Anolis sagrei: one gene and its partner. The protein of the gene in region 2 interacts with the protein of the main gene of each other region in a pairwise test. Links are inferred from orthologs where the notes say so. Each region holds a gene or a part of one and is shown on either strand. Other genes may lie near its edges.

Region 1 (16,033 bases), on a different chromosome or scaffold from region 2:
ATCAGTGTGATGGTTTCAGTGTGCTCCAGGAATTCTTTGACATCTTTATAGTGAAGCCGAAAAAGTTTAGCTTTTGGAGATTGGAAATTATCTTCTTCATCTTGCTCTGATACAACCAATGGACTTAAATTTGAAAAAAGAACATATACTGTAGTTGGCAGCTTCTGTTTTGCATTTAGCCATTTAGCATCTGTCCTCTTCTCACTTTTCCTATCCAGAAAGGTCCTGCAAAAATAGTTTTCATGCTCTCTGGCTTCACTGTTCAGGAAGAATGGTTCCAGTCCAGGCTTCATATTAGCTAACAAGTTAGCTATGTTCTTATAACCCCAAAATTGAGCGATGTCCAGTGCAGTCTGGTTTGATGCATTGGATATGGACTTGTCACACCTTTTAAAATGCAAATTATAAAATTAACAATGTTTTCAAGTTTAAGTGTCCCACCAACATTATCGCTTGTCATGTGATCTGGGGATTTTGGGGCTTATAGTTCAAAAAACAACTTCTCTAAGCCACCTCACAGCCTATCCGGAATGAGAATGTCAGCTGAATAAAGCACACATGGCTCCCAGCTAGGGGTTGCTGAACTACTGCAAATATTGCTTGCAAGCCATGAAGAAAATCAAGATTTTTTGTTCTAATTACCATGTGTTTCTTGTTCCAACATTAATGCTTTCTTTCACTGAGCCAAATCCACAAAGAGTCATTAAGTGTAACACAATGGGCAAAATCAAACTGAAACAGATGGAGAACAAACGGTTTGTAGAACTCATGCTTGTCTGGCAAAGCTGCTTTGGAGTTGCAAACTGAGCTACTGGAGAAAAATGATGCAACTTTGAAGACAGCAGGGGTCCCCACTTCCTTTACTATACAATTAAACTGTTCAATTGTATGCTTAGGGCTGCAATCCAATGTTCAGCATGATTTACTTCTAAATATGTACAGAACTGGCCAATAAACACCACTATATCTCAATCCTAATACTTATCTATTTACGTATATGTAAGTGTAACTAGTACTTGATCCTAAGTGCTACCCCATCACAAACTGAATAGTCAGTAATTGAATTAACAGTATAGTCTAGCATGAATATTTGCTATCTGCTAATTATCTTTAGAAAAGAACCCATATTACAAGTGTGTCACACATTAAAACGGATAGTTCATAGGTTAATGGATGTCACCCTTTGTTTCCCTGGTTTGCAAAATGATAATTATATATTGTTTATTCCTAGAGTAAAAGAGTCTGAGATATAAAAAGACATGACTTTATGTTTACATTCATTTTTTTATTTTAGCGTTGAAGTTCAGCGTCTGCATAAGTCTATTAGAATTGTGAATATAGGGAAAGACAGGTACCCCGATACAATCATTCTGTTGTAACTTTTAATATGGCATACAAGGAACAATTAATTTTCTATTTTAATTACCCTTTCTCTAGAAGAACCTGTACAATGTCAAAGTGCCCATTTCTAGCAGCAAACATCAATGCTGTCCAACCATTCTTCGCAGTTTCATTGATAAGGGATGGAGAATGACTGAGCAGGGCCACAAGCCTGGCCTTGTCTCCCGTAGCAGCTAAATTGTGAAGCTCAGAAATCAATCGTTGTTTTGGATTCCTTTGGATATCTGCCATTATCTGTGTGGATAAAAACACAGAGCTTAAAATGTTATTAGTATATAACAGGTCATCTTTAAATCTAAATTTAAAGATGGGCTCAAAGCCAACCTTAAAAACTCTGGCATAGACACTGAGAACTGGGAAGCCCTGGCCCTTGAGCGCTCCAGCTGGAGGTCAGCTGTGACCAGCAGTGCTGGAGAATTTGAAGAGGCATGAATGGAGGGTGAAAGAGAAAAATGTGCCAAGAGGAAGGCGCGTCAAGCCAACCCCGACCAGGACCGCCTTCCACCTGGAAACCAATGCCCTCACTGCGGAAGAAGATGCAGATCAAGAATAGGGCTCCACAGCCACCTACAGACTCACAAGAATTCTCATCCTGGAAGACTATCCTACTCGGCCAACAACGGATTGCCTAAGTAAGTAAGTAAGTAAGTAAGTATATAACAGGTAGAGGTGGCTCAAAAAACTAGCATAAAAGATGTTTTAAGTTATCAGAGATCAATCTTTCTAGAAAGGACTAGGTCAAAATAGAAGTACTTTGAACATACTTGCAAGTTGTTATACCTTGAGTAGTGAAGGTTTTTGCTTATAGCAAATGCTTTTTTCTCACATAATAATAATAATAATAATAATAATAATAATAATAATAATAATAGCAACTTTATTATTACACCCCACCATCATCTCCCCGAAGGGACTCGAGGCAGCTTACATATGGGACAAAATGTCCACAAAACATAAAACAAAACAATAAATAAATAAAACAAAACACAAATAGGAGCATCATAAAATATAGCAATCCAGATAAAACACATTAAACACAACAGAATAAAACAAATTGCATTGGAGCATTTTTATATTTTATGAAAGATTATTACAAGCTTACTTTGCAAAACTCAGGCACGTGTCTCTGAGGAAATCACATTGATGTCGGAAAACCCAGAATACACACAAGGATTTTTGACAATGTCTAGCTTGACCCACATTGACTCCAGGAAAACGACTGCTATCACACATAGGATACAATCGCTGGAATCTCTTTAACAACATACGCATGCTTTAGGGTGGTTTATCTGCCTTGTATGTCACTTTCAGGACAGAGTGCAAAGTTCTATTCTGCAACCCTTTGCGTAATGTTCAAAGCCTTTCACCCAATAGCTGTCACGCCCCTCTGCTGTCAGCGTCACTGCTTACTAGTGCAGAGAGAAGCCAAAGAGAGAATTCAACCAGTGTAGCTTCAAGGAGAAAAACAGGAAGGTACACTCTGTGAGTGTACTTCCATTTGCTTTCCTTCCTGGGCCATGAGGAGCAAGTTATCTAATTTTGATTTGCTTCCCTGTTGTCTCTCCTCCTTACTGTTAAGAAGCTATAGCAGTCCCTGCCAGAACATGACAACTGGAGAGAGAGTAGGGCCCCATCTATATTGCCATATATATTGCAGTTTAAAATTGCATTACATGGTCAATGTAGACCATGTAATGCAGTGTAACTGTACTGAACTCCATTATATGAGTCTACATTGGCCATACAATGCAGTTTTAAACTATGGCTTAGGTTTTGAATGGGACACTAAGGACTGGCAGAGATGTCAAACATATTGCCCTTCAAATGTTTGAGCCAGACGCACTAGCCAGCTTGCCCAATTGGCAGGAATTATGGGAGCTGAAGTCTAAAACACCTGGAGGGTCACAAGTGTGATACCACTGAGGATACCCCCTTGTACATTGTCAAAGAGAGAGAGAGAGAGAGAGAGAGAGAGAGGATATACGTAGGTATGGACGTATAATGCTTACTTGATGCAGCCCTCCACACTACAAATGGTCTGATGATTCAGTAACAGGCCCTGAGCAAGGCTTGCAGGATGTTTTGCAAGGTTGTTCATGGTTTGCTCTTTTGGTGACCTCTCATTTCTAGGGTCACCATACGTTGAAATTCCACTTGATGACAAAAAGAATTCAAAGACACAGCCATGTTAATCTGGACTAGGATCTTGTAGTGAGTGCATTTGTAGAATTAAGGCAGCTTGGCATCACTTTAGTTGTCATGGTTCAGTAAAAAAGGTAAAGGTTTTCCCCTGACTTGTCTAGTCATGTCTGACTCTGGGGGTCTGTGATCATCTCCATTTCTTAGCCGAAGATTCGATGTTATCCATAGACACCTCCAAGGTCATATGGCTGGCATGACAGCATGGGGCGCCAATACCTTCCCGCCAGAGTGGTACCTATTGATTTACTCACGTTTGAATGTTTTCGAACTGCTAGGTTAGCAAAATCTGGGGCTAACAGTGGGAGTTCACCTTGCTCTCCAGATCTCAACCACCGACCTTTCAGTCAGCAAGTTCAGCAGCTCAGTGGTTTAATCCATTGTGCCACCAGGGGCTCCTTACATGGTTCTATAATATGGAATAATGGGAGCTGTAGTTTAAAGGTCTTTCATCTTCTCTGCCAAAATGTGTTGGTGGCTTACAAAAATACAGGTCCCAGGATTCTATAGCACTGAGCCATGGCTCTTAAAAGTGCTGCCAAATTGCATTAATTCTACAGCAAATCCACTCTTTGTTATAAGAGTGATCTAATAGGCCATTTTCCAATACAATACCTAGGCAAATATTTCCACACACAGTGTTTTCACTTTGAGGCATGAAGTCTGCTATCTGCTTGTACTTAGAACTGCCCAGAATATGAACATAAAACCTTCATTAATTAGCAGTGAATAGCACTAAATTCACAGGTGCTTGTTTCTGAGTAAAGATGTATAGGATTGCACTGTCTATTATCTGGTTCAGGCAGGATGGGAATCATGCAGCCCTCCAGATGCTGTTGGACTTCATCTCCCATAATTCATCTTCAGGGAGATAGGTTGGGATATAAATAAAGTTTTTTATTATTATTATTATTAGTCTGTTGTGAGTTTTCCAAGCTGTATGTCCAGGTTCCAGTACTATTTTCTCCTGACCTCACAACCTCTGAGGATGCCTGCCTTAGATACAGGCGAAACGTCAGGAGAGAATGCTTCTGGAACATGGCCATATAGTCTGGAAAACTCAACAAACTAGTGATTCTGGCCATGAAAGCCTTTGACAATACATCATCAGCATTCATTAACACTGATGAGGACTGATGGGAATTACAATCTAGCAACATCAGAAGGGCTACATGATTTATAGCTCATCCTGTATTATTGCTGTCACACAGCGCAAATAGCTCTTAAGACTCAAACACGTTTATATCAGAATGTACTAAAGGCTTAAGATCCTCCATCCAATGTACTTGGGGCCAGAATTATGCTGGATTTTTTGTTTGTTGGATTGCGGAAATCTTGTATTTGCATATTTGTACAAAATGGGATATCTTGGAGATGGGACCCAAGTCAAACCATGAAGTTTATTTGTATTGAAGGTTTTAAGTTTTGTTATGTTTTTAATGATTGTTTTAATGTATATGTTTATTTTACTATGTATGTCCATATGGCATCGAATTGCTGCCTATGTATGTAAGCCGCCTTAAGTCCTCTATGGGGCAAGTAGGGCGGGGTATAAATATGGTAAATATTTCATATACATCTTATACATATAATCTGAATGCAGTTTTATACAACAATAAGGTTGTGCATGAAAGAAATTAAAATCTGAAAGACTTCAAAATCCTGGATAGCTGAGTGATACTTTTACTTTCCCAAAGCATTGTTACCTAAAATTTGTTTCATGCACAACCTTATTAAAAACAGTGTGTATAAATTCCCCCCCCTCCCCCCGAAGCCATGTGTATATGAAACATAACTGAAATGTCATGTTTGGCATTGGGCTCCCAACTCTAAGGCTGCATCTACACTGTAGAATTAATGCTGTTTGACACCACCTGAAATGAAATCATGGGGACTGTAGTTTGGTGAGGTACTAGTCATCATGAGCAGAGAAGGAGAAAGACCTTGTAAAACTACAACTCTAGGGATTCCATAGTTTTGATCCATGGCAGTTTTTTTGTCATGTCAGGAGTGACTTGAGAAACTGCAAGTCGCTTCTGGTGTGAGAGAATTGGCTGTCTACAAGGACGTTGCCCAGGGGACGCCCAGATGTTTTGATGTTTTACCATCCTTGTGGGAGGCTTCTCTCATGTCCGTGCAATGGGGAGCTGGAGCTGATAGAGGGACCTTATCCACACTCTTCCCCGATTCGAATCTGCAACCTGTCGAATCTGCAACCTGTCGAATCTGTAACCTGCCGGCAAAGGGGTTTAACCACCTCGCCACCGGGGGCTCCAGCCATGGCAGGTAAAGTGGTACTCAAACTGCAATTCTCAGGAGATTTCTTAGGGTCCTTCCACACAGCCAAATAACCCAGGATACTAAGGCAGAAAATCCCACAATATTTGCTTTGAACTGGGTTATCTGAGTCCACACTGCCATACATTCCAGTTCAAAGCAGATATTGTGGAATTTTACTCAGCTGTGTGGAAGGGGCCTCAGTATATGTAAATATTCCAAACTCTAAAACACTTTTGGTTCCAAGCATTTCAAAAAAGGGAACCTCAACCTGTATTACTCTGTTTATTTGAAAGCATTACTACATCTCTGTCTTCTTTTCTCACATACCACCCACTCTTTGGTAATATCCTTGCTGGGTTGTTGTAGGTTTTTCGGGCGATATGGCCATGTTCTAGAAGCATTCTCTCCTGACGTTTTGCCTGCATCTATGCAAGCATCCTCAGAGGTTGTGAGATCTGTTGGGGTTGTGAGGTCTGTTGTTTTGGGCTATATGGCCATGTTCTAGAAGCATTCTCTCCTGACGTTTCACCTGCATCTATGGCAAGCATCCTCAGAGGTTGTGAGGTCTGTTGTTTCGGGCTATATGGCCATGTCCTAGAAGCATTCTCTTCTGATGTTTCGCCTGCATCTATGACAAGCATCCTCAGAGGTTGTGAGGTCTGTTCTTTCAGGCTATATGGCCATGTCCTAGAAGCATTCTCTCCTGATGTTTCGCCTGCATCTATGACAAGCATCCTCAGAGGTTGCAAGGTCTGTTGTTTCAGGCTATATGGCCATGTTCTAGAAGCATTCTCTCCTGACTTTTCGCTTGAATCTATGGCAAGCATCCTCAGAGGTTGTGAGGTCTGTTGTTTCAGGCTATATGGCCATGTTCTAGAAGCATTCTCTCCTGACGTTTCGCCTGCATCTATGGCAAGCATCCTCAGAGGTTGTGAGATCTGTTGGGATTGTGAGGTCTGTTGTTTTGGGCTGCATCTATGGCAAGCATCCTCAGAGATTGTGAGGTCTGTTGTTTCGGGCTATATGGCCATGTTCTAGAAGCATTCTCTCCTGACGTTTCGCCTGCATCTATAGCAAGCATCCTCAGACCTCTATGCTTGCCATAGATGCAGGCGAAACGTCAGGAGAGAATGCTCCTAGAACATGGCCATATAGTTTGAAAAACCTACAACAACCCAGTGATTCCGGTCATGAAAGCTTTCGACAATACAATATCCTTGCTGTTCCTGCTGACTTCGGGTTGAGTGACAGAATAGGAAACTGTCGGGACCAAAGACCAAGCAAGACAGCTCAACAAAGCCTCCAATGCGTCTAAATGCAGAAATTGAGAGAAGGTGGCCTCTGGGATCAAGAGGAAGCCGTCTGCACCTTGGAAGAGAGAGAAGAGGCGCTGAAAAAACCAGTTACCTAATTCCTGGCCCAGGAAATCACCTCGCCTCCAGCAATCCGCCGACACTTCCGGGTTCTCTTGGACGCTCCACCCCTCAGCTTGGCGGAGGAGAAAGGCATCCTGGGAATTGTAGTTCGCCCAAAGGGCCTACTTTCAGGAAAAAACAGGCTTTAGGCCTTTCCTGTTTCCCCAGTGGCTTTTTCTTGTGGAGAACTGTGCCCTTCCAAACAAAACAGGAGTTGAGCTCATGTTTGTGTATCTGCAGGGCTGTCATCTGTTTCAAATGTATAAAATTACTTGAGAATAATAGTAACAGACTTTAGTTATGTGGGTGCCTCAGTCACTCAGGCCTGGGCAAACTTGGGCCCTCCAGAGGTTTTGGACTTCAACTCCCACCATTCCTAACAGCCTCAGGCCCCTTCCTTTTCCCCCTCAGCCGCTTAGTGAAGGAAGGGGCCTGAGGCTGTTAGGAATGGTGGGAGTTGAAGTCCAAAACCTCTGGAGGGCCCAAGTTTGCCCAGGCCGGAAAGTGACACCAGGCACAATATATTTGGCTTCGTAGCAATTGTGGCAAGATCTTGGTGGTATGGGCATACCAAGCCACCTTGTCTCTCTCCTGAGGAATCTGTACAAGGACCAAGTAGCAACAGTAGGAACAGACCATGGAACAACAGACTGGTTCAAGATTGGGAAGGGCGTACAGCAGGGTTGTATTCTCTCCACCTAACCTATTCAACTTGTATTCAGAACACATCATGCAATGTACGGGGCTTGACGAATGCAAGGCTGGGGTAAAAATCACTGGAAGAAACATTAACAACCTTAGATATGCAGATGATACCACTTTGATGGCCAAAAGTGAGGAGGAGCTGAGGAGCCTTCTAATCAAGGTGAAAGAAGAAAGCGCGAAAGCTGGGTTGCAATTAAACATAAAAAACCCCCCAAGATTATGGCAACTGGACTGATTGATAAATGGCAAATAGAACGAGAAAACATGGAGGCAGTGACAGACTTTGTATTTCAAGGTGAAAAGATTACTGCAGCCAGGAAATCAGAAGACACTTACTTCTTGGGAGAAGAGCAATGACCAATCTCGATAAAATAGTGAGGAGTAGAGACATCACACTGGCAATGAAGATCCGCATAGTAAAAGCAGTGGTATTCCCCGTAGTCACTACGGATGTGAGAGCTGGACCATAAGGAAGGCTGAGCAAAGGAAGATAGATGCTTTTGAACTGTGGTGTTGGAGGAGAGTTCTGAGAGTGCCTTGGAACACCAGAAGATCCAACCAGTCCATATTGCTCACTGGAGGGAAGAATATTAGAGGTAAAGATTAAGTATTTTGGCCACATCATGAGAAGACAGGAAAGCTTGGAGAAGACAATTATGTTGGGGGAAATGGAAGGAAAAAGGAAGATGGATGGTATCCTTGAAGTGACTGGCTTGACCTTGAAGGAGCTGGAGGTGATGATGGCCGACAGGGAGCTCTGGCGTGGGCTGGTCCATGAGGTCACGAAGAGTCGGAGACGACTGAATGAATGAACAACAAGCCATTCTCTCCCCTCTGTTGTTTAACATCTATATGCGACCACTTGCTCAGCTGGTTCGAGGTTTTGGGCTTGAGTGTTACCAGTATGCTGATGACACTCAGCTTGTGCTGAAGATGGAAGGCCGACCGGACTCTGTACCCAATTGTTTCCATCAGTGCCTTGAGGCCGTTACTGGATGGCTGCGTGCCAGTAGGTTGAGGGTAAATCCAGCAAAGACGGAGATCCTATGGCTGGGTCAACCAGGCAGTGGGGATATCCAGCTTCCTACCCTGGATGGCGAGGTGCTACGCCCGTCATCATTGGTAAAAAGTCTGGGAGTCCTTTTGGACCCTCTGCTGACGATGGAGGCCCAGGTCCCCTATCTGTCCAGGGATGACCTAGGCTATGGTCATCTCAAGACTGGACTACTGTAACGGCCTCTACATTGGCCTTCCTCTGTCAGTGATCCGGAAGCTCAAGTTGGTACAAAATACAGCTGCTCGGGTTCTTGCGGGAATTCCGATGAGATTCCACATAACACCAATATTACTACAGCTGCACTGGTTACCAATTGAGCACCGGATCACTTTCAAAGTGATGGTACTCACCTTTAAGGCCTTGCATGGTCTGGGGCTGATGTACCTGAGGGACCGCCTCACCCACTACCAAACCCAGAGATCCCTTTGTTCTGAAGACCAAGATTTGTTGGAAATTCCCAGTGTCAAGACCTTGCATCTAACAGCAACCAGACACAGAGCCTTTACAGCAGTGGCACCATCACTCTGGAATACTCTGCCACCTGAAGTCCGTGCCTTGCGGGACTTATCAGCTTTCCGCAGGGCATGTAAGACATATCTGTTTTGATGGGCCTTTGATCTTTGATTGCTGTTTTTAAATTGTTTTTAAATTGTGTTCAATTTTAGCCTGTTCTTGTAAGCCGCTCCGAGCCCCAGGGGAGTGGCGGCATATAAGTTCAAATAATAAATAAATAAAATAAATAAATAGTCTGCGCACTATTGCGCAGTGTACAATGCAGAAATCGAAGAAAGAATGGGAACAAATGGCAGGATCAGAAATCAAAGTTGTCATTGTCATTGCTATAAAGGAGGCAGCACAGTTACACTATAGACCGGCAGTCTTCAAATTGCAAACATCCGAGTTACAAATGACACATAGTTAAGAACAGGGATGAGGTAAGGAAGTGAGAGGAAATCTACACCTTGGAAGGGAAATTAGCTCCTGGAAGAGTTATCATGGGTGTCGCCACTGAAGAAGTCGAAAAGGTGTCGCCACTGAAGCTTTCTCGCCAATCCTTGTTTCTACAACAAGCCTTGTTTCCATAACAAGTGAGGGGAAATCTTCTAAACAGGGGCACAGAGAGCAAAATAAACATCATATGGGTGTTAATCCTTCTCTATGCTATCCAAGGCATACATGCACACATACACATGTATGGCTGGAATTACACTTATAAAATGTACCTGTTCTGATTTACAAGTTAAGAACCTATCAAGTGTGTTAACCCTTCCCTATGCTATCCAAAGATATATGTATATGTGTGTATGTGTGCATGTATAAATTGGCAAGCATTACATTTATAAAAGTGGGAGACATCATGCCCGCTAGAAACTGCTAATCCCTTTATTGAAGAAAGGAAGTGGAACAAGCAAGAACCTCAAAGAAGAGAGACTTGCAACCCTGAAGATTTTGGAAACCGAGGCCTCATCTATATTGCCATATTGTTGTTTATTCGTTCAGTCATTTTTGACTCTTCGTGATCTCATGGACCAGTCCATGCCAAAGCTCCATGTCAATCATCACCACCCCCACCTCCTTCAAGGTCAAGGCAGTCATGTCAAGGACAACATCCACCCATCTTGCCCTTGGTCGGCCCCTCTTCCTTTTCCCTTCCATTTTCCCCAGCATCATTCTCTTCTCTAAGCTTTCCTGTCTTCTCATTATATTATCAAAGTACTTCATCTTTGCCTCTAATATCCTTCCCTCCAGTGAATAGTTGGGCTTATTTCCTGGAGTATGGACTGCTTTGATCTTCTTGTGGTCCAAGGCATTCTCAGAATTTTCCTCCAACACCACATTTCAAGTGTCTATCTTACTTTGCTCAGCCTTCCTTATGGTCCAGCTCTCACATCCGTAGGTGACTATGTGGAATATCATTGCTTTAACTATGTGGACCTTCGTTGCCAGTGTGATGTCTCTACTCTTCACTATTTTATCGAGATTCGTCATTGCTCTCCTCCCAAGAAGTAAGCGTCTTCTGATTTCCTGGCTGCAGTCTGCATCTGCAGTAATCTTTACGCCTAGAAATCCAAAGTCTGTCACTGCCTCCATGTTTTCTCCCTCTTTTTGCCAGTTAGCAATCAGTCTGGTTGCCATAATCTTGTTTTTTTTTTTAAATGTTTAACTGCAACCCAGTTTTTGCACTTTCTTCTTTCACCATGACTCCTTAGCTCCTCCTTACTTTCAGCCATCAAAATGGTATCATCTGCATATCCAAGGTTGCTAATGTTTCTTCCAGCAATTTAACTCCAGCCTTGGATTCATTAAGCCTGACACTTCACATGATGTGTTCTGCATACAAGTTGAATCGGTCGGGTGAGAGTATATAGCCCTGCTGTACTCCTTTCCAATTTTTGAACCAATCTGTTGTTCAGTGGTTTGTAAATTGCCATATAATGAGTGTGAAACTATGGGCCCTTCCGTATAGGTCCTGTAGCCCAAGGTCTGATCCCAGGTTTTCTGCTGTGAACTGGATTATATGAATCTGTACTGCCAGATAATCTGGGATAAACAGAAAACCTGGGATCAGATTCTGGGATATAGGGCCTATCTGGAAGAGCTCTACCTTATATGGGAGTGTAGATGGAGCCTGAGTCTTAAGGAGTTTGAAGAATTCCCTTTTGCTGTGAAACTGACAACACTGGCCCTATAAAAACCAAATTATCAGCTTTGAACTGGGTTATATGGCAGTACAGATTGATATAATTCAGTTCAAAGCAGATCATGTGGATTATCTGCTTTGATAATCTGAATTATATGGCAGTATAGAAGGAACCATTGACAACCACAAGTGTAATCCTGCACTTATGTAGAACTCCTTCATTTCTAGAAGTTTTCTGAAAGAGATTTGATCAGCAACAAACTATATTTTTCAAATCATAGCATGCATTTTGTTTGACTATCTACCAATCTGTCCATCACCCTATTTATGAAAATATTTATAAGCTTCCATGCAACCTAAAAAAATCCAAGGAGGCTGGCAAGGAATAAAATCAGAGCAAAAATGTATAAATCTGTTAATATTTAATATGAATTAATTATTAACAATGATAATTTATAAAAGCAGAACTCAGCAGCTTTCATGTCTTTTTTTTTTTTACTCTGACTAATCCTAAAACCAATTCACCTCTAGACTCTTTTGAGACCACACTCCAAGGATGTTTCTCTTCTTTACACACATTATTGTTTCACAACTTTGTTCCAGCGCTCTCTCCTTCCATACTTACTGATACTGAAAACCGCAAGGAATCTTTCCTGCTTTACACTCTGCTATTTTTATATGTTGGTTACTTTATTAAATAATTAAATGACATTAAATCATTTAAGCCTTTTAGAAGAAGACAAGTGGAAAACAGTAATTGGAAACAACATTTTAAAAGAGAGAATGCTTCATGCTTGTTGATGGTACTTGCGTGCCTCATTACTTTTGAGAAAAAATATTGGTGACAGTGTTATGCCAGTAATCCTTAATGTGTTTGATCTTTAACTCCTCTGGGAAGATTTCATCTGTCTTCCCAGGTATCATTACGACAGTAATGCAATGCTGATTGCCACAATATTTAAAATATTCAAAAATGCATTAAAAACCATCATAAAATATGAGTTGACTATAAATAACATAAAGTTAGTAGTGCTAACCTGATTTTATTGCACATCTGTGACATGATACCTTATGAAATTTGATAGGTTTTAATGGTTAAACTCCCGAATGTTGAAAAAACAAGAACATTAGTTATATATTAAATACCTCTGTAATCCACAGGTTCTGTCCACAACATGTCACAACAAGCCATGGTATGGTATCTTAAAATCTGTATCTCTTGTAACAAACCACAGTGTGTTACTATGTTATGGAATTACAATGTGAATCTAAAACTTGTTGTTACCTTAGAAAGTCTGATGTTCTCAGCAGACCACACTGATACCAAGGTAACTGGCAAGAATAATGGTACTTTGTTCTTCCTGATGTCTTGCTCAGAGTGGTACTTTGGCTCAAATTGGCAACCATAAATAGTTTTCTCACATCTTAATCTAATCTTAATCTCATCAGAGAACAGCATCTCCTAGGGGTAGTTGGGGAGCCCCCGGTGGTGCAGTGGGTTAAAGCTCTGAGCTGCTGAACTTGCTGACCGAAAGGTCGCAGGTTCGAATCCGGGGAGCTGGGTGAGCTCCTGCTGTTAGCCCCAACTTCTGCTGACTTAGCAGTTAAAAAATTGCAAATGTGAGTAGATCAATATGTACTGCTTTGGCGGGAAGGTAACTGCACTCCATACAGTCATGCTGGCCACATGACCTTGGAGGTGTCTATGGACAATGCTGGCTCTTTGGCTTAGAAATGGAGATGAGCACCAACCTCCCAGAGATGGACACAACTGGACTTAATGTCAGGGGAAAACCTTTACCTTTACTTAGGGGTAGTTGATTTGTGTGACTGCTATGAAATAATAACATCTATACATCTTTTCATTGGTGTATGTGTTTATCTGGAACAATGGAAGATCTATCTTCAAGTTAGATAACTGCAGAAGTGAGATAGGGGCTGAGCTACACTCACCCTTTATCCTGATCTGACACATACCAGCTCAGTCTTAGGTTGGATGAGACAGGTACCTCCCTGATCACTTTGGAGACAGGAGGGAGTACTGGATACCCTTACCATCCCCTCCGTTCTCCTTGTCATGGTAGTCTCCAAGTGCAACATGGGTCCTTTCTGGCTGGCTATCTGATAGTGATGGTGGCCAGGGAGATGGGGGAGGGGGGACAAGGAAAGGGGTAGATGGAGGACTCACCTCTCCTTTCCCTTCCCTTCCCCAATTGTCCCATCACCCTGTCCGACATCACTGATCAGTAGGACCCGTGTTATGGTTGGGGACTGCCATGGCATTGAGGATAGGAAGGGACAATGAGTGCCACCCTATGTCTCTGGGCTGCTGAAGCCCAGGAAACGTGGGATGGCAAAGAAAATAGTTTTGGCCGGTTCTGTCTCAGAAACAGCCCAATTGTTTACACAGGCTCAAAGTCAAGGGATGCTCTGAGTTTGGAGTATTCTCCAACTTTGGCTCATGTGGGGCAAGGTTGCATTAAGGCTGCCTTGCCTAAAATTACTCTGGATCCTTGTGGTGTTTGCCATCACATAACTGATTTGGGCACATTCCTCAGTAAGTGGACAGTGTAGATGTGCCAAGGATTAATAAAATCATGTACCCTCTTAATAAAAATGTAGGTCAAACTGCATTTTAGTCTGGTTGGGAAAAATCTCTAAGGCCATAAATCCAGTGGGAATCAGTCCTATTAAACTCAGTAGGATCAACCTTTGAGCAGACATGCGTGGAATAGTACCACTTGAAGAGCTACTGATGCTTCATTCACGGAGGGCATCAAGTCTGCCTTAAATCAGTGGTGTTTGTTTTGTTTTGTTTTTAAGTAGCATGGATTCATTAGCAAAGGTTCTTCAGACAGTGCTTGACCTTCACATACATATTCTAATTTGGAAAAAGAATCTTGTTGAAATTCATCTGTGAATGCGATCACGGTTCTGCTGAGTTTTAATTTACATCATTGGATCCTAAAATGACTAGTTCAATGCACAATGAGATTTGTATTTACATGTCCATAGATATCGAAGTGAAGTCTGGAGAGAAAAAAATCTATGCCAATTGTGCCATTAGGACATATTTGCAAAGGTAGGGCACAACATAGATCTTAGAGGCATCAGACAAGTGATTTTACTTTACAGTTCATAAATTTCAATGCAGTTTTATTTTTTCTAACTGCACACAAACACATTATTACAAATTGTCACAACTGCTCTTCTGTTTAATCACCTGTGAAAGTAGCACAAGGCAGAAACAATCACATTAGCAGCTGCTGGGGAAATGTGTGATGATAACTTGTGTCAAACGTTACTTACAAAATCAATGTTGTCATTGATGATGTCCTTGTTCCTTAAATTTGGGCTAGCTTATTACATTAACTACCAAGCTTCTGACAAAATTGATACCAAAACCAAGTCAAAGGGAACTACTGTATTCATGGTGAAATATTATAGGAGAATTTGAACAGTCTTGATCCAAGTGAAGCAAACTGCCATATCTTGTGGACTTGCTAACAAATAATTAGCATGCAGCATATAGTTCAGCTAACAAAGAAGTCCTTTATACAGCCATCTTCCTTCTCTTCTCCTCTGTCTTTCTGGACTTTTCTTTTGCAGTAATGGCACAGGGGGGATAGTGAAAGGACTGGGAAAACTTTCAGTGTTGAATTGCAGCAGCTTTTCTGCAGTCAGGGGCAGCTCAACCCATTACACAAAGTAAGCATTTGCAGTATAGTTGATTTTGCCCAGGGGCACTTTTGGGAGAATATAGACTTTGACATATGCGAGTTGTAGTCATTGGGATGTATCGTTCACCTACAATAAAAGGGCATTACAGGGAGAGGTCAACCCTCCTGTTTAAGGAGCTCCACTGGCTGCCTTTCATTTTCCGATCCCAATTCAAGGTGAAGGTGCTTACCTACAAAGCCCTAAACGGTTTGGGACCTGCCTACCTGCATGACCGCATCTCTGCATACGAACCCACACAATCTCTTTGTTCATCTGTAGAGTCCCTACTTACGATCCCACCTGCATCGCAAGCGTGATTGGTGGGGACGAGGGATAGGGCTTTCTCGGTGGTGGCCCCTCGACTCTGGAACTCTCTCCCTAAGGATATCAGGCAAGCCCCATTGCTGGCAATTTTTAGGAGAAGCTTGAAAACATGGCTGTTCCAGTGTGCCTTCCCAGAATAAGCATTTTGTCCCCAACACACTTTATCAGAGACTCAGGATATCTGCAAACCCATCCCTCTCCAAACACCTACCCTTTTCTCCTGGTCATGACCAGCACTTTTAAATTTTAATTTTAATTATTACATTTGGCCCTGCCATAGTTTTTAATTGC
Region 2 (16,264 bases):
TGCCCTCTTTCCACACCAGAAATAAAGCTACAAAGCTGTGATTTGTATTCCAAATTATGTAAATGCCTGATGATTATTTATACAACATCATTATTTCACATTGGTTCAGCCTCCCGCTCACAGGGCCTTCTCAGCAGCTGCTCCCAGGCTCTGAAATGTCCTTCCTAGAAGGACCAGAGTAGCTAAGCAGAGAAAGTCCTGATTAAGAATTGGATGGGAGGCCACCAAGGAATCCAAGTGCCATCTGATCTATTTTAGGGGAACTGGGAAGACCACACCTGTCGATCACTGAAATCCATGAGGTTGCCATAAGCCAACTTGAAGGCACAGACACACAGTACCACCCATAACAACAACAACAGACCTCACAACCTCTGAGGATGCCTGGCATAGATGCAGGCGAAATGTCAGGAGAGAATGCTTCTGAAACATGGCCAGGCACCCTGAAAATGCTTCTGGAACATGGCCAGGCAGCCTGAAAAATTCACAACAATCCAGTAGTTGTTGTGTACTCCTACGTGGCACTATTGGGGTTGGACTGGCTGGCCCTTGGGTGTCTTTTGTAACTATGGTTCTGTCTCCATTCCTCTTGTTTACAAAACCTCACAACCTCTAAGGATGCCTGCCATAGATGCAGGAGAAACGTCAGGAGAGAATGCTTTTGGAACATGGCCAGACACCTGGAAAACTCACAACAATCCTGTTGTTGTTGTGTACTCCTACGTGGAATAATTGGGGTTGGACTGGCTGGCCCTTGGGTGTCTTTTGTAATTATGGTTGTATCTCCGTTCCTCTTGTTTACAAAACCTCACAACCTCTAAGGATGCCTGCCATAGATGCAGGAGAAACGTCAGGAGAGAATGCTTTTGGAACATGGCCAGACACCTGGAAAACTCACAACAATCCTGTTGTTGTTGTGTACTCCTACGTGGAATAATTGGGGTTGGACTGGCTGGCCCTTGGGTGTCTTTTGTAATTATGGTTGTATCTCCGTTCCTCTTGTTTACAAAACCTCACAACCTCTAAGGATGCCTGCCATAGATGCAGGAGAAACATCAGGAGAGAATGCTTTTGGAACATGGCCAAACAGCCTGGAAAATTCACGACATTCCTATTGTTGTTGTGTACTCCTATGTGGCATAATTGGGGTTGGACTGGCTGTCCCTTGGGTGTATTTTGTAACTATGGTTCTATATCCGTTCCTCTTGTTTACAAGACTTCACAACTTCTGAGGATGCCTTCTATGGATGCAGGAGAAACATCAGGAGAGAATGCTTCTGGAACATGGCCAGGCAGCGCGAACAACCTACGACATTTTTGCTGGGAGAAGGAAAGTTTCTGCACGCCAACCTTATCCCAGAAGAAGAGATGGGCCTGGCTGAACTCAAACTCCTCGATGTTGAGCTTCTTCATGAATGGAAGGCGCATCACGTTCAGGCAGGAGAAGATCCAGCAGCGGCCTGAAGAAAGAGAACAATCAATCAAAACAGAAGCAGAGGGGAAATGCTCCAAGCCAAGATGTCTCCAAAGTGTTGTGCAATGAGGACTAGCGGCAACACACTCCCTAATTGTGCAATTTCCCTTTCCAGGAAGTCCAGTCAGCTCCCTCCCTGTTGTTGTTCTTCCACCACCAGGCAGGACCTTTTTTAATCTAGGGAAGGCTTTGGGTTTTGATAGATTGCGGCAGAGTGCACGCTGTGGGTGAGGTCGTCCGGAGTTTGTAAGCCGCCTCAAGTCGCCCTCGGGCTTGAGAAAGGCGGGATATAAATATCCCCCTGGGCAACATCCTTGCAGATGGCCAATTCTCTCACACCAGAAGTGACATCCGGGCAACGTCCCCTGGGCAACATCCTCGCAGACAGCCAATTCTCTCACACCAGAACCGACTTCCGGGCAACGTCCTTCCAGACGGCCAATTCTCTCACACAAGAAGTGACTTCTGGGCAACGTCCTTCCAGACAGCCAATTCTCGCACACCAGAAGCGACTTCCGGGCAACGTCCTTCCAGACAGCTAGTTCTCTCACACCGGAAGCGACTTCCGGGCAACATCCCCTGGGCAACGTCCTTGCAGACGGCCTATTCTCCCATACTGGAAGCGACTTCCGGGCAACATCCCCTGGGCAACGTCCTTGTAGACGGCCAATTCTCTCACACCAGAGCGACTTCTGGGCAACGTCCTTCCAGATTGCCAAATCTCTCACACCAGAAGCAACTTCCGGGTAACATCCCCAGGGCAACGTCCTTGCAGACGGCCAATTCTCTCACACCAGAAGCGACTTCTGGGCAACATCCCCTGGGCAATGTCCTTGCAGACGGCCAATTTTCTCACACCGGAAGCAACTTCCAGGTAACGCCCCCTGGGCAACGTCCTTCCAGACGGCCAATTCTCTCACACCAGAAGCGACTTCCGGGCAACATCCCCTGGGCAACGTCCTTGCAGACGGCCAATTTTCTCACACCGGAAGCAACTTCCGGGCAACATCCCCTGGGCAACGTCCTTGCAGACGGCCAATTCTCACACAGCAGAAGCGACTTCCGGGCAACATCCCCTGGGCAACGTCCTTGCAGACGGCCAATTCTCTCACACCAGAAGCGACTTCCGGGCAACATCCCCTGGGCAACGTCCTTGAAGACGGCCAATTCTCTCCCATCGGAAGCGACTTTGGGGAAACGTCCCCTGGGAAACGTCCTTGCAGATGGCCAGTTTCTCAAGTCGCTTCTGACACAAAATGAAAAAAGATATAAATTTAATAAATCTTCCAGAAGAGCTGGAATTAGCTTTCATCTATTGTTATTGTGACTTGTGTTGTTACTACTACTTCTAGTAGTAATAGTATACTGCTTTTCCTCCCAGGACTGGAACCCAAAGCCTTAATAACTATAGTCACAACCTCTGAGGATGCCTGCCACAGATGCAGGTGAAACGTTTGGAGAGAATGCTTCTGTAACATGGCCAGATAACCCAAAAAACTTACAACAACCTAATAACTACACAGTTTGAAAAGCTATGAAGAGCCAGCCAGGTATAAGGAGGTGCGTCCTCCTCCTTACCTGAGTTTTTCTGGTTGGTGACAGGTTTGCCCTCGGCAGGTATGGCGTGTTGGAACACCTGGAGGGTGTCTTGCACCACGCTCCGCTCCAGGCACAGCTCCAGCGGATCCCCACAGGTGGCCACATTTTGGGCCAAGTGGTACCGCGGCTCCGCTTTCAGGCTGAGGGTGAAAGCTTCGGCTTTCTTCAGGCTTAACCCTGTCCGGAAACAAAACACGGCAGACTGTAAGTTGAATTGGCAGCACTCGAAATAGCCGATTTGCCATCCACCTTCCAAATAAAACCAGGTTAGTAACAAACAGGTGTGAGGTTTCCTTGGAAGGAAGGAAGGAAGGTAGGGCCAGGAAATAGGCTCAAATGGGAAACTCCCTTGCAAGGTTGTTGTGAGAATTAAGTAGAGGAAGGAAAGGAGAGAATAAAGTAAAAGGAGAGAATAAGGTAGAAGAAGGGAAGGAGAGAAGGACAGGAAGGGAAGGAGAGAATAAAGTAGGAGAAAAGAAAATAAAGTAGAAGAAGGAATGGAGGGAATAAGAATAAAGTAGAAGAGAAGAAGAGAATAAAGTAGAAGGAGAAAAGAGAATAAAGAGGAAGGGAACAAGAGAATAAAGTGGGAGAGAATAAGACTAAAGTAAAAGAAGGGAAGGAAAGAAAAGAAGAGAATTAAGGAGAGGAAGGGGACGAGAGAATAAAGTAGGAGAGAAGAAGAGAATAAAGTAGAAGAGAATAAAGTAGAGAGAAGAGAATAGATTCAGTGGAGGATGAGATGAGAGAATAAAGTAAGAGAAAGAGAATGGAAGTAGAGAAGAAGGGAATAAAGTAAAGAAGAAGAGAATAAAGGAGAAGGGAAGGAGATAATAAGGCAGCAGGAGAGGAGAGAATAAAGAAGAGGAAGGGAACAAGAGAATAAAGTGGAAGGAGACAACAAGAGAATAAAGTAGGAGATAATAAGACTAAAGTAGAAGAAGGGAAGGGGAGAAAAGAAGAGAAGAAAGGAGAAGCGAAGGATAGAATAAAGTAGATGAAGGTAGTAAGAGAAGGGAAGGGGAGAAGAGAATAAAGGAGAAGGGAAGGAGAGAATAAGATATTAAGGTAGAAGGAGAGAAGAGAATGAAGTGGAAGACGAGAACGAGAGAATAAAGTAGGAGAGAATAAGACTGAAGTAGAAGATGGCAAGGAGAGAAAAGAAGAGAATAAAGGAGATGAATAGGATAAGAGAAGGGAAGGAGAGAAGAACAGAATAAAGTAGGAGAGAAGAGAATGAAGTGGAGGACGAGAACGAGAGAATGAAGTAGGAGAGAATAAGACTGAAGTAGAAGATGGGAAGGAGAGAAAAGAAGAAAATAAAGGAGATGAATAGGATAAGAGAAGGGAAGGAGAGAAGAAGAGAATAAAGGAGAGAATCATAGAATCAAAGAGTTGGAAGAGACCTCCTGGGCCATCCAGTCCAACCCCATTCTGCCAAGAAGCAGGAATATTGCATTCAAATCACCCCTGACAGATGGCCATCCAGCCTCTGCTTAAAAGCTTCCAAAGAAGGAGCCTCCACCACACTCCGGGGCAGAGAGTTCCACTGCTGAACGGCTCTCACAGTCAGGAAGAGAATGAAGTGGAGGATGAGAACGAGAGAATGAAGTAGGAGAGAATAAGACTAAAGAAGAAGAAGGGAAGGAGAGAAAAGAAGAGAAGAGAAGAAAGGAGAGGAACGAGAGAATAAAGTAGGAGAGAATAAGACTGAAGTAGAAGGAGGCAAGGAGAGAAAAGAAGAGAATAAAGGAGATGAATAGGATAAGAGAAGGGAAGGAGAGAAGAAGAGAATAAAGTAGGAGAGAAGAGAATGAAGTGGAGGACGAGAACGAGAGAATAAAGTAGGAGAGAATAAGACTGAAGTAGAAGGAGGCAAGGAGAGAAAAGAAGAGAAGAAAGGAGATGAATAGGATAAGAGAAGGGAAGGAGAGAAGAAGAGAATAAAGTAGGAGAGAAGAGAATGAAGTGGAGGACGAGGATGAGAGAATGAAGTAGGAGAGAATAAGACTAAAGAAGAAGGAGGGAAGGAGAGAAAAGAAGAGAAGAAAGGAGAGGAACGAGAGAATAAAGTAGAAGGGGAGAAAAGAAGAGAAGAAAGGAGATGAATAGGATAAGAGAAGGGAAGGAGAGAAGAAGAGAATAAAGTAGGAGAGAAGAGAATGAAGTGGAGGACGAGAACGAGAGAATAAAGTAGGAGAGAATAAGACTAAAGAAGAAGAAGGGAAGGAGAGAAAAGAAGAGAAGAAAGGAGAGGAACGAAAGAATAAAGTAGGAGGAGAGAAGAAGAGAATAAAGCAGAGAGAACAGATTCAGAATAGGCTAGTTATCTTAATTTTGAACCTTGCAGGGTCTTCTCAAGGGATAAGGTCACCCTGTTTTGGGGAAGAATGTGTTGCTCTTGCTTCCTGTGCCTGTCTCTTCCCAATGCAGAAGACACAAAGGCACTCTGCTCGTGCTCAGGAGCCCTTCAGGACCAAGGAGAGGGGAAGAGGGGGAAAGAAGGTGAGGGCCCCCCCCTCCCCTCCCTGGAGGCCCTCTGCACATGCTCAGGGGCCCCTCTCCTCCTCGGCCTACACGGCATCCCTCCCTCCTGCGGGTGGGGAAGGGGAAGGGGAAGGGGCGGCCCTCTGCACATGCCCAGAGTCCCTCCCTCCCTCCCTCCCTCCCTCCCTCCCTGCCTGCCTGCCTGCCTGCCTGGGGTCCCGCTGCCCCCTGTCCCCCGCTGCACCTGGGAAGCTGCTCATGGTGGAGGCGGAGAAGAGCCAAAGAAGAGCCGGGCAGCGGCACCGGAAGCCGCTTTTATATGGCCTCGGAAGCAGGAAGCCCGCCTGGCCCGCGACGGGGAGCCGGGAGGGACAAAAGGGGGACGCGCTCGCTCGCTCTCTCTCTCTCTCTCTCGGAGCAGAGAGTCTCTTAAAGGGGACGCCACGAATTTGATTCTCTACCATCCCTATCATCTATCTGTATCTATACATACCATATATATATATATATATACACACCCATACATACACATACATATACACCATATATATATATACACACACACATACACTCCATATATATATATACACATACACATACAATCCATATTTTTATATATATATATATATATACACACACATGCATACATACACACCATGTATATACACACACACCATATATATATATATACACACACACACACACACATACATACACACCATATATCACATACATACACACCATATATATATATAAATATATATATATATGCACACACACATATATACATATACACACACCATATATACACACACATACATACACACCACATATATATATGCACATACACATACAATCCATATTTTATATATATATATATATACACACACACATGCATACATACACACCATGTATATACACACACACCATATATATATATATACACACACACACACACATACATACATACACACTATATATCACATACATACACACCATATATATATATATATATATGCACACACACATATATACACACCATATATATACACACACATATATATACATATACACATACGCACCATATATATATATACACACACACACACCATATATACACACACACAACTATATACATACACACACATACATACACACACTATATATATACACACACACATATACATGCACACATACACACTATATATATATACACACACATACACATACATACATACACACATGAGCACCATATATATACACACACACATATATACATATACGCACACCATATATACACACACATACATACACACCATATATATATACACACACACATATATATATACACATACACACACACACACCATATATACACACACACACAAACATATACATACACACACACATATACATGCACACATACACACTATATATATATATACACACACACACACCATCTATATATATAATATATAATATTATATATATATATATATATATATATATATATATATATATATATAAATACTCTGTGCATAATGAGTACCTTAAAAACAAAAGAACCAATGAACGAAATCACACCAAATTTGGCAACAAAACGTCTCACAACACGAGGAGTGACCATCACTCAAAAAATTATGATTTTGCCATTTGTGAGTTGTAGTTGCTGGGATTTATAGTTCACCTACAATCAAAGAGCATTCTGAACACCACCAACGATAGAACTGGTACCACTCCAGCGGGAAGGGAACGACGCTCCATGCAGTCATGCTGGCCACATGACCTTGGAGGTGTCTAGGGACAACACTGGTTCTTCGGAGATGAGCACCAGAGTTGACACAACTGGACTTAATGTCAAGGGGAAACCTTTGCCTTGGTATGCATCTGACAGTGATAGATAGAAGAACTGCTTTCTTGCTGTAACTTCCACCGAATTTAATTACGGCCTTCCGTTGCAATGCCAGGACTTGCCCTCCACTCTCCTTTGCATTCAAGTAAACAAGATTAAATGTTCCTTATGCTAATGAATGCTAATTTCAGGCGAGACTCAAGACTGTATGAGCCACACCTTCCACCTGATAGAAACCCTCATTAGGGCAGGAGCCGTCCTCCGTTTCAATTAAAAACCTCGTTCCCAGATGGGCCAAACAGTCCCCGCATCGGAGTCGCCGATCTCCTGCTCCATATTCAGGCGGTTAATATGGATTTTTAATTACCTGGAAATTATAGGGAGATGCAACGAAGACGCTTTACCGGTTCCGTTTGTAAATAGTATGCTGATTCTGCACCTGGCTGCTCTCTTGCTCTAACTCTGTGTATAATTGTTTAGCAATAATCATTTCCATTTGGAAAAACATGAGATTTGCTCCATTAAAAAGAAATACGACCCCTTGGTGACGCAGCAGGTTAAACTGCTGAGCTGCTGAACTTGCTGACCAAAAAGTCGCAGGTTCAAGTCCGGGGAGCGGGGTGAGCTCCCAATGTTAGGCCCAGCTTCTGCCAACCTAGCAGTCTGAAAACATGCAAATGTGAATAGATCAATAGGTACCGCTTCGGTGGGAAGGTAACGGCACTCTCTTGCTCCATCTACACTGCTATATAAAATCCAGATTATCTGCTTTCAATTGGATTATTGGACAGACAGCAAGCTATTTACTCAGCAGACTGAAAGCCAAAATTAAGGTCACAACAACATCAGTTATAGAACTTCAATATGCTGATGATAACATAGTCAGTGCACATTCAGAAGAAGACCTGCAAGCCACTCAACACGCTTGCAGAAGCATACGAGAAGGATGGCCTCTCATTGAACCGCGAGAAAAACAAAGTGCCCTTCCAGAAAAAAGAACCAGCCAATCCCTCTGCAAGGCCAGAAACTGAAACACAACACCGCCTGAGCTCTGCGAGTGCAGCATTCTTCCGAATGAAGCAGAGAGTGTTCACAACAACATCATTTATAGAACTCCAATATGCTGATGATAATGTATTCGGTGCACATTCAGTAGAAGACCTACAAGCCACTCTCAACACGTTTGCAGAAGCATACAAGAAGGATGGCCTCTCATTGAACAGTGAGAAACCCAAAGTGCGCTTCCAGCAAAAGGCACCAGCCAATCCCTCTGCAAGGCCAGAAACCGAAACACAACACTGCCTGAGCTCTGCGAGTGCAGCATTCTTCCGAATGAAGCAGAGAGTGTTTGAGGACCGGGACATCCGTCGGGAGACCAAGGGCTTGTTTATAAAGCTATTGTCCTCCCAATCTTGTTCTACCCCTGTGAAACGTGGACTGTCTACAGATGTCACACTCAACTCTTAAAACAATTCCATCAAAGCCATGCGCTGCTTCTCCTCCATGCCATGGTCATCGACAGATAAGGACGAGAGGCATTCAGGGAAAACGAAACCAATTTCTCAGTGCTTGGAATGGCTTAATGTGAGGATATAAAGTTCCAACAATGGGAAATGTAGTCAGATGAAGCATCGTTTCAGAATCCTGCTAAGTTCTTGCTCTTGTCTCATAGTAGCCTTGCTTGGAAGATTAATGTTTAAGGATTTCTTGCTGTATGGTTTGACCGTTTCTCTCTTAACAGATTAGAGAGATGGGCCAAAACTAACAAAAGGAAGTTCAACGGGGACAAATGCAAGATACTCCACTTTGGCAGAAAAAAAACAAAATGCAAAGGTACAGAATGGGGGACGATGAGGCCTGGCTCGAGAGCAGGATGTGTGAAAAAGATCTTGGGGTCCTCGTGGACAACAAGTTAAACATGATCCAACAATGTGATGTGGCAGCAAAAAAAGCCAATGGGATTTTGTCCTGCATCAATAGGAGCATAGTGTCTAGATCTAGGGAATTGTGTCCAATTCTGGGCAGCACAATTCAAGAGAGATATTGACAACCTGGAATGTGTCCAGAGGAGGGCGACTAAAATTATCAAGGGTCTGGAGAACAAGCCCTACGAGGAGCGGCTTAAGGAGCTGGGCATGTTTAGCCTGAAGAAGAGAAGTCTGAGAGGAGATATGGTAGCCATGTATAAACTATGTGAGAGGAAGCCACAGGGAGGAGGAGGGAGCAAGCTTGTTTTCTGTTTCCCTGGAGACTAGGACGTGGAACAATGGCTTCAAACTACAAGAGAGGAGATTCCATCTGAACATTAGGAAGAACTTCCTGACTCTGAGAGCCGTTCAGCAGTGGAACTCTCTGCCCCGGAGTGTGGTGGAGGCTCCTTCTTTGGAAGCTTTTAAGCAGAGGCTGGATGGCCATCTGTCAGGGGTGATTTGAATGCAGTATTCCTGCTTCTTGGCAGAATGGGGTTGGACTGGATGGCCCATGAGGTCTCTTCCAACTCTTTGATTCTATGATTCTATGATTTTATCTGAACATGAGGAAGAACTTCCTGACTGTGAGAGCCGTTCAGCAGTGGAACTCTCTGCCTCGGAGTGTGGTGGAGGCTCCTTCTTGGGAAGCTTTGAAACAGAGGCTGGATGGCCATCTGTCAGGGGTGATTTGAATGCAATATTCCTGCTTCTTGGCAGAATGGGGTTGGACTGGATGGCCCATGAGGTCTTTCCAACTCTTTGATTCTATGATTGTGATTACATACTCATGTCTTGGATCAATGTTTCCCTGTTTCTTTGGATGTTACTAGACTGGACTTTGTTTTTGAACTTTGCTGAACCATACCTTGGACTAATTTGTTCCTGCTTATCTTCTTACCTAATTGGATTTACCTATTCCAGTGCTTTTTTACTTTGCTGCTTTTACTTATCTTCAATAAAAAAGGATAGTTTTCCTACTCAACGTGTGCCGCTTTGAAATCAGGGGGCTATTCTTGTTCTATGTATACACTACACTTGGAGGACCAACATACTCAGACGAGAAATCGCCTAAGTAAGTAAAGTACGTCAGCGAGCTCTGGATTGTCCGCTTTGATAATCTGGATGGCATTATAGATCCAGCCTCTCTTGACTGAAACCCAAAGGTGTGTAATTAGTGGCCATCAAGTCGGCCTGGGAACAAAGAGGGCAGCCACCCGATCGCTTCTGGAAAGTGTGCCACGGCAGGGCAAATAAGGATAGTAATAATAATAATATCTCCACCTGCCATAAAACCTTGCCACACGCCCAGTGAAAGATGTAATTTGACTTTGACAGTGAAATACTGCCTGCGTGTGCCTCCCGCTTGGCTTTCTGTTAAAAGCGGCCAAGTTTCTGAAATATGTTTTGATGGAACAATTACGGAAGGAAGAGAGAAGCTTGAGGAGTGTCGCCTTCCCATTGAGTTGCCAACAAGGGCAGAAAACAAAAGAAAAGGACCACATATTATTATGATTCTTACTACTACTACTACTACTACTACTGTGTTTATTATATTTAGATCCTGCTTTTCTATCTTAAGCAAGACCCAAAACGCTCACCACCTTATTTTGATGCACAACAAGTTTAGTACACCAGAAACAATTGCTACCAGAGATTTCCCATGATTTGGAGCTTGAGAACAGCTCGGCACCTGGCCCAGATGCAGAAGATCACAATGCTAGCTTTTGAATTGGATCGCACGTCGGACACTTCCCAAGTGTCTAGGACTGTGTGATGCATCGGCGAATAATGTGTGCAGATCCGACAATGGCGGCCTTTTGCAGCTGACTGGTGGTGATTTTGTTTTTAAGTCCAGGCCAAGGTCTTGAGGCACTGCACCCAGTGTGCCGATCACCACTGGGACCAGCTTGACTGGCTTGACCACCTGTGTGCCAATCACCACTGGGACCACCTTGACTGGCTTGACCACCTGACCGACTACACTGGCCTTTTGCAGCTGACTGGTGGTGATTTTGCTTTTAAGTCCAGGCCAAGGTCTTGAGGCACTGCACGCAGTGTGCCAATCACCACTGGGACCTCCTTGACCGGCTTGACCACCTGACCGACTACGCTGGCCTTTTGCAGCTGACTGGTGGTGATTTTGTTTTTAAATCCAGGCCAAGGTCTTGAGGCACTGCACCCAGTCTGCCGATCTCCACTGGGACCACCTTGACCGGCTTGACCACCTAACCAACTACGCTGGCCTTTTGCAGCTGACTGGTGGTGATTTTGCTTTTAAGTCCAGGCCAAGGTCTTGAGGCACTGCACCCAGTGTGCCGATCACCACTGGGACCACCTTGACTGGCTTGACCACCTGTGTGCCAATCACCACTGGGACCACCTTGACTGGCTTGACTACCTGACCGACTACGCTGGCCTTTTGCAGCTGACTGGTGGTGATTTTGTTTTTAAATCCAGGCCAAGGTCTTGAGGCACTGCACCCAGTGTGCCGATCACCACTGGGACCTCCTTGACTGGCTTGACCACCTGACTGGTGGTGATTTTGCTTTTAAGTCCAGGCCAAGGTCTTGAGGCACTGCACCCAGTGTGCCGATCATCACTGGGACCTCCTTGACTGGCTTGAACACCTGACCGACTACGCTGGCCTTTTGCAGCTGACTGGTGGTGATTTTGTTTTTAAATCCAGGCCAAGGTCTTGAGGCACTGCACCCAGTCTGCCGATCTCCACTGGGACCTCCTTGACTGGCTTGACCACCTGACTGGTGGTGATTTTGCTTTTAAGTCCAGGTCAAGGTCTTGAGGCACTGCACCCAGTGTGCCGATCACCACTGGGACCACCTTGACCACCTGAAAAACATCATTATTATTGCTGTTGCTACTGTTGTTGTTGTAGTAGTAGTTTCCTGCTTTTCTTTCCTGATCAAGATCAGTAGAGGCTCAGAACACTAAAAGCAATGCATATAAATATTTCCCATTATCCCCACCCGCAATTCCTTGTTGCACCAAGCTTCCTTTAATAATGATGATGATGACAAGTGAGCCAAAAATGCTGTAGCGTTAATGTAATTTGACCTCACGTTAATTGCCATAGGTATTCCAATGCGCACGGAAGGCATTAAAGGATCCCGGTGCCACAGTTTCCTGTCCAGTTAATTTCCTGCTAATGTACCTGCCTTTCTCGCTGTCGCAACACGGACTGAGTCAGCCTTATCTTTGAGTGACATTTGCCGCCGGGCTCCTTTTCCTAGAAGTCACACATCCATTTACACGCAAAGACAGGAATGTTATTCTTTGGGGTTCCAATCGAGATCACTTTAGATTACGCCGACTGTGATCTGCTTGTCGTTCTTTGGAATCTGCTGAGTTAGGACTCCTTTTGTTGTTGTGTACCTTTGAGTCGTTGTATGATTTAGCGTCTTGACTTGGCCTTACCTTAGTCTGAGGTTGAGAGAGTGTGACTTGCCCAAGTGGCTGAGCAGGGACTCGAATGCAGGTCTCTCAATGTCTTTGTCCAACGTTCAAGCCATGCTGCCTTTCTTTTTGAATAATCCTATACCTTATTATTCCTTTTGCACCAATAAAGCTATATAACACAATTTTTGCCTGTTCTTAAGGTGAGAGGCACACGTTTGCATTTTAGGTGGATTAGGAATCAGCTGTAATAGTCAGTAAGAGCACCTCAAGCTTTGGAGAGCTTCTGTTCAACAATTTCAAAGCTCCCTTCTTGAGCAGTGATGGCACGATCGTCAGCATAGATGAAACTCTCCATCCCTTCTGGCATTGGCTGATCAATGTTTCACCTGTAACAGGCAGTAAGAGCACCTAAAGCTTGGAGAGCGTCTCTTCAACCATTTCAAAGCTCACTGTATGAGTGGTGATGGCACGATCGTCAGCATAGATTAAATTTAGATGAATTAGAAATCAGCTGGTTTTCCCTGTAATAGGCAATAAGTGCACCCAAAGCTTTGGAGAGCTCTTCTTCAACCATTTCAAAGCTCCCTGCTTGAGCAGTGATGGCGTGATCGTCAGCATAGATCGTTTCCTCAGAGCTTGAGATGTTTGTCTGTTCTGAAGGTGAAAAGCACACTTCTGCATTTTAGATGGATGAGGAATCAGCTGGTTTTCCCAGTAATAGGCAGGAAGAGCACCTCAAGCTTTGGAGAGCTTCTGATTCAACCATTTCAAAGCTCCTTGCTTGGGCGGTGATGGCATGATCGTCAGCATAGATGAAACTTAGATGGATTAGAAACCAGCTGGTTTTCCCTGGAATAGGCAGTAAGAGCACCTCAAGCTTTGGAGAGCTTCTGTTCAGCCATTTCAAAGCTCCCTTCTTGGGCGGTGATGGCACGATCGTCGGCATAGATGAAACTTAGATGGATTAGAAACCAGCTGGTTTTCCCTGGAATAGGCAGTAAGAGCACCTCAAGCTTTGGAGAGCTTCTGTTCAGCCATTTCAAAGCTCCCTTCTTGGGCGGTGATGGCACGATCGTCGGCATAGATGAAACTTAGATGGATTAGAAACCAGCTGGTTTTCCCTGGAATAGGCAGTAAGAGCACCTAAAGCTTTGGAGAGCTTCTGTTCAACCATTTCAAAGCTCCCTTCTTGAGCGTTGATGGCATGATCGTCAGCGTAGATGAAAATTGGCAGTGGCCGTTCATTTGTGTAGATGTTAAACACTGATGAAGTGAGTAGTCCTTTGTGGTATTATAAATTCTTCTCAGGAGAAGCAACTTGCAGTATCCAGAGCCTAAAAGCAGTAAAGAGTCTACTGCATTCTTGCTGAGAGCTTTGGAGAGCTTCTGTTCAGCCATTTCAAAGCTCCTTGCTTGGGCGGTGATGGCATGATCGTCAGCATAGATGAAACTTAGATGGATTAGGAAACAGCTGGTTTTCCCTGTAATAGGCAGTAAGAGTACCTCAAGCTTTGGAGAGCTTCTGTTCAACCATTTCAAAGCCCCCTTCTTGAGCGGTGATGGCACAATCGTCAGCATAGATGAAACTTAGATGGATTAAAAACCAGCTGGTTTTCCCAGTAATAGTCAGTAAGAGCACCTCAAGCTTTGGAGAGCTTCTGTTCAGCCATTTCAAACCTCCCTTCTTGGGCGGTGATGGCACGATCGTCAGCATAGATGAAACTTAGATGGATTAGGAATCAGCTGGTTTTCCCAGTAATAAGCAGGAAGAGCACCTCAAGCTTTGGAGAGCTTCTGTTCAGCCATTTCAAAGCCTTCTTGAGCAGTGATGGCACAATTGTCAGCATAGATGAAACTTAGATGGATTAGGAATCAGCTGGTTTCCCCTGTGATAGGCAGTAAGAGCACCTCAAGCTTCGGAGAGCTTCTGTTCAGCCATTTCAAAGCTCCCTTCTTGAGCAGTGATGGCACGATCGTCAGCATAGATGAAACTTAGATGGATTAGGAATCAGCTGGTTTTCCCTGTGATAGGTAGTAAGAGCACCTCAAGCTTCGGAGAGCTTCTGTTCAGCTATTTCAAAGCTCCCTTCTTGAGCGGTGATGGCATGATCGTCAGCGTAGATGAAAATTGACAGTGGCCGTTCATTTGTGTAGATGTTAAACATTGATGGAGTGAGTAGTCCTTCGTGGTATTATAAATTATTCTCAGGAGAAGCAACTTGCAGTATCCAGGGCCTAAAAGCATTAAAGAGTCTACTGCATTCTTGCTGAGAGCTTTGGAGAGCTTCTGTTCAGCCATTTCAAAGCTCCCTGCTTGGGTGGTGATAGCATGATCGTCAGCATAGATGAAACTTTCTGACCCTTCTGGCAGTGGCTGGTCATTTGTGTAGATGTGGAACATGGATGGGGCAAGCACGCTCCCCTGAGGTAGGCCGTTCTTCTGTTTCCGCCATCTGCTTCTCTGGCCCTGGAACTCAACAAAAAAGCTCCTGTTTGGTAGCCGTTTTCCTATGAAATAGGTGAGGGGGTCATCCTTGGTGATATTATAAGTGGTTCTCGACCTTCCTAATGCTGTGACCCCTTAATACAGTTCCCCATGTTGTGGTGACCCCCAACCATACAATTATTTTCGTTGCTACTTCATAACTGTCATTTTGCTCCTGTTATGAATCATAATGTAAATATCCGATCTGCAGGATGTATTTTCATTCACTGGACTGATATGCCCAAATTTGAATACTAGTGGGGTTGAGGGGCGGGGTTGGTTTTGCCATTTGGGAGTTGTAGTTGCTGGGATTTATAGTTCACCTACAATCAAAGAGCATTCTGAACTCCACCAACGATTGAATTGGGCCAAACTTGGCACACAGAATTCCCACGACCAACAGAAAATACTGGAGGGGTTTGGTGGGCATTGATCTTGAGTTTTGGAGTTGTAGTTCGCCTACATCCAGAGAGCACTGTGGACTCAAACAAGGATGGATCTGGACTAAACTTGGCATGAATACTCAATATGCCCAAATGTGAACACTGGTGGAGTTTGGGGGAAATAGTCCTTGACATTTTGGGAGTTGTAGTTGCTGGGATTTATAGTTCACCTACAATCAAAGAGCATTCCGAACCCCACCAATGATAGAATTGGGCCAAACTTCCCACACAGAACCCCCATGACCAACAGGAAATACTGTGCTTTCTGATGGTCCTTAGTGACCCCTCTGACACTCCCTCGTGACCCCTCCGGGGGTCCCGACCCCCAGGTTGAGAACCACTGATGTATGGGGTAAATAAGGGCCGTAATAGGCAGTGCTTTTACTGCCCTCCAGTGAACGCACCAAGAATTGCATCCTAAAGGCCGGAGAGGTTCAGGCTCCCCTTAAAAGTCCTTTGCTGCCACCTTCTGGCCACAGGGATATTGCATGACTTAGTTATAATTTTCCCCAAAGGCACCCTTACCCTTCATTGAACCCC

What was found.
Region 1: the proteins of BLMH (region 2) and NUDT12 interact in binary tests that used the Homo sapiens proteins (3 or more experiments, as listed by UniProt). The two-hybrid records come from large-scale screens. The link is inferred for Anolis sagrei from reciprocal best matches to the Homo sapiens genes BLMH and NUDT12.

Annotation. Positions count from the first base shown.
Region 1 is NC_090022.1:249,815,618-249,831,650, reverse strand, and holds the start of NUDT12 (NAD-capped RNA hydrolase NUDT12), read right to left. Parts: upstream 7,365-16,033; 5' UTR 7,288-7,364; intron 3,555-7,287; exon of another isoform or gene 3,411-3,554; intron 2,877-3,410; exon of another isoform or gene 2,504-2,876; intron 1,636-2,503; 5' UTR 1,633-1,635; coding exon 1,427-1,632; intron 388-1,426; coding exon 1-387. UniProt on the Homo sapiens protein: mRNA decapping enzyme that specifically removes the nicotinamide adenine dinucleotide (NAD) cap from a subset of mRNAs by hydrolyzing the diphosphate linkage to produce nicotinamide mononucleotide (NMN) and 5' monophosphate mRNA.
Region 2 is NC_090031.1:33,769,939-33,786,202, forward strand, and holds the start of BLMH (bleomycin hydrolase), read right to left. Parts: upstream 5,943-16,264; 5' UTR 5,821-5,942; coding exon 5,805-5,820; intron 3,251-5,804; coding exon 3,053-3,250; intron 1,461-3,052; coding exon 1,351-1,460; intron 1-1,350. UniProt on the Homo sapiens protein: The normal physiological role of BLM hydrolase is unknown, but it catalyzes the inactivation of the antitumor drug BLM (a glycopeptide) by hydrolyzing the carboxamide bond of its B-aminoalaninamide moiety thus protecting normal and malignant cells from BLM toxicity.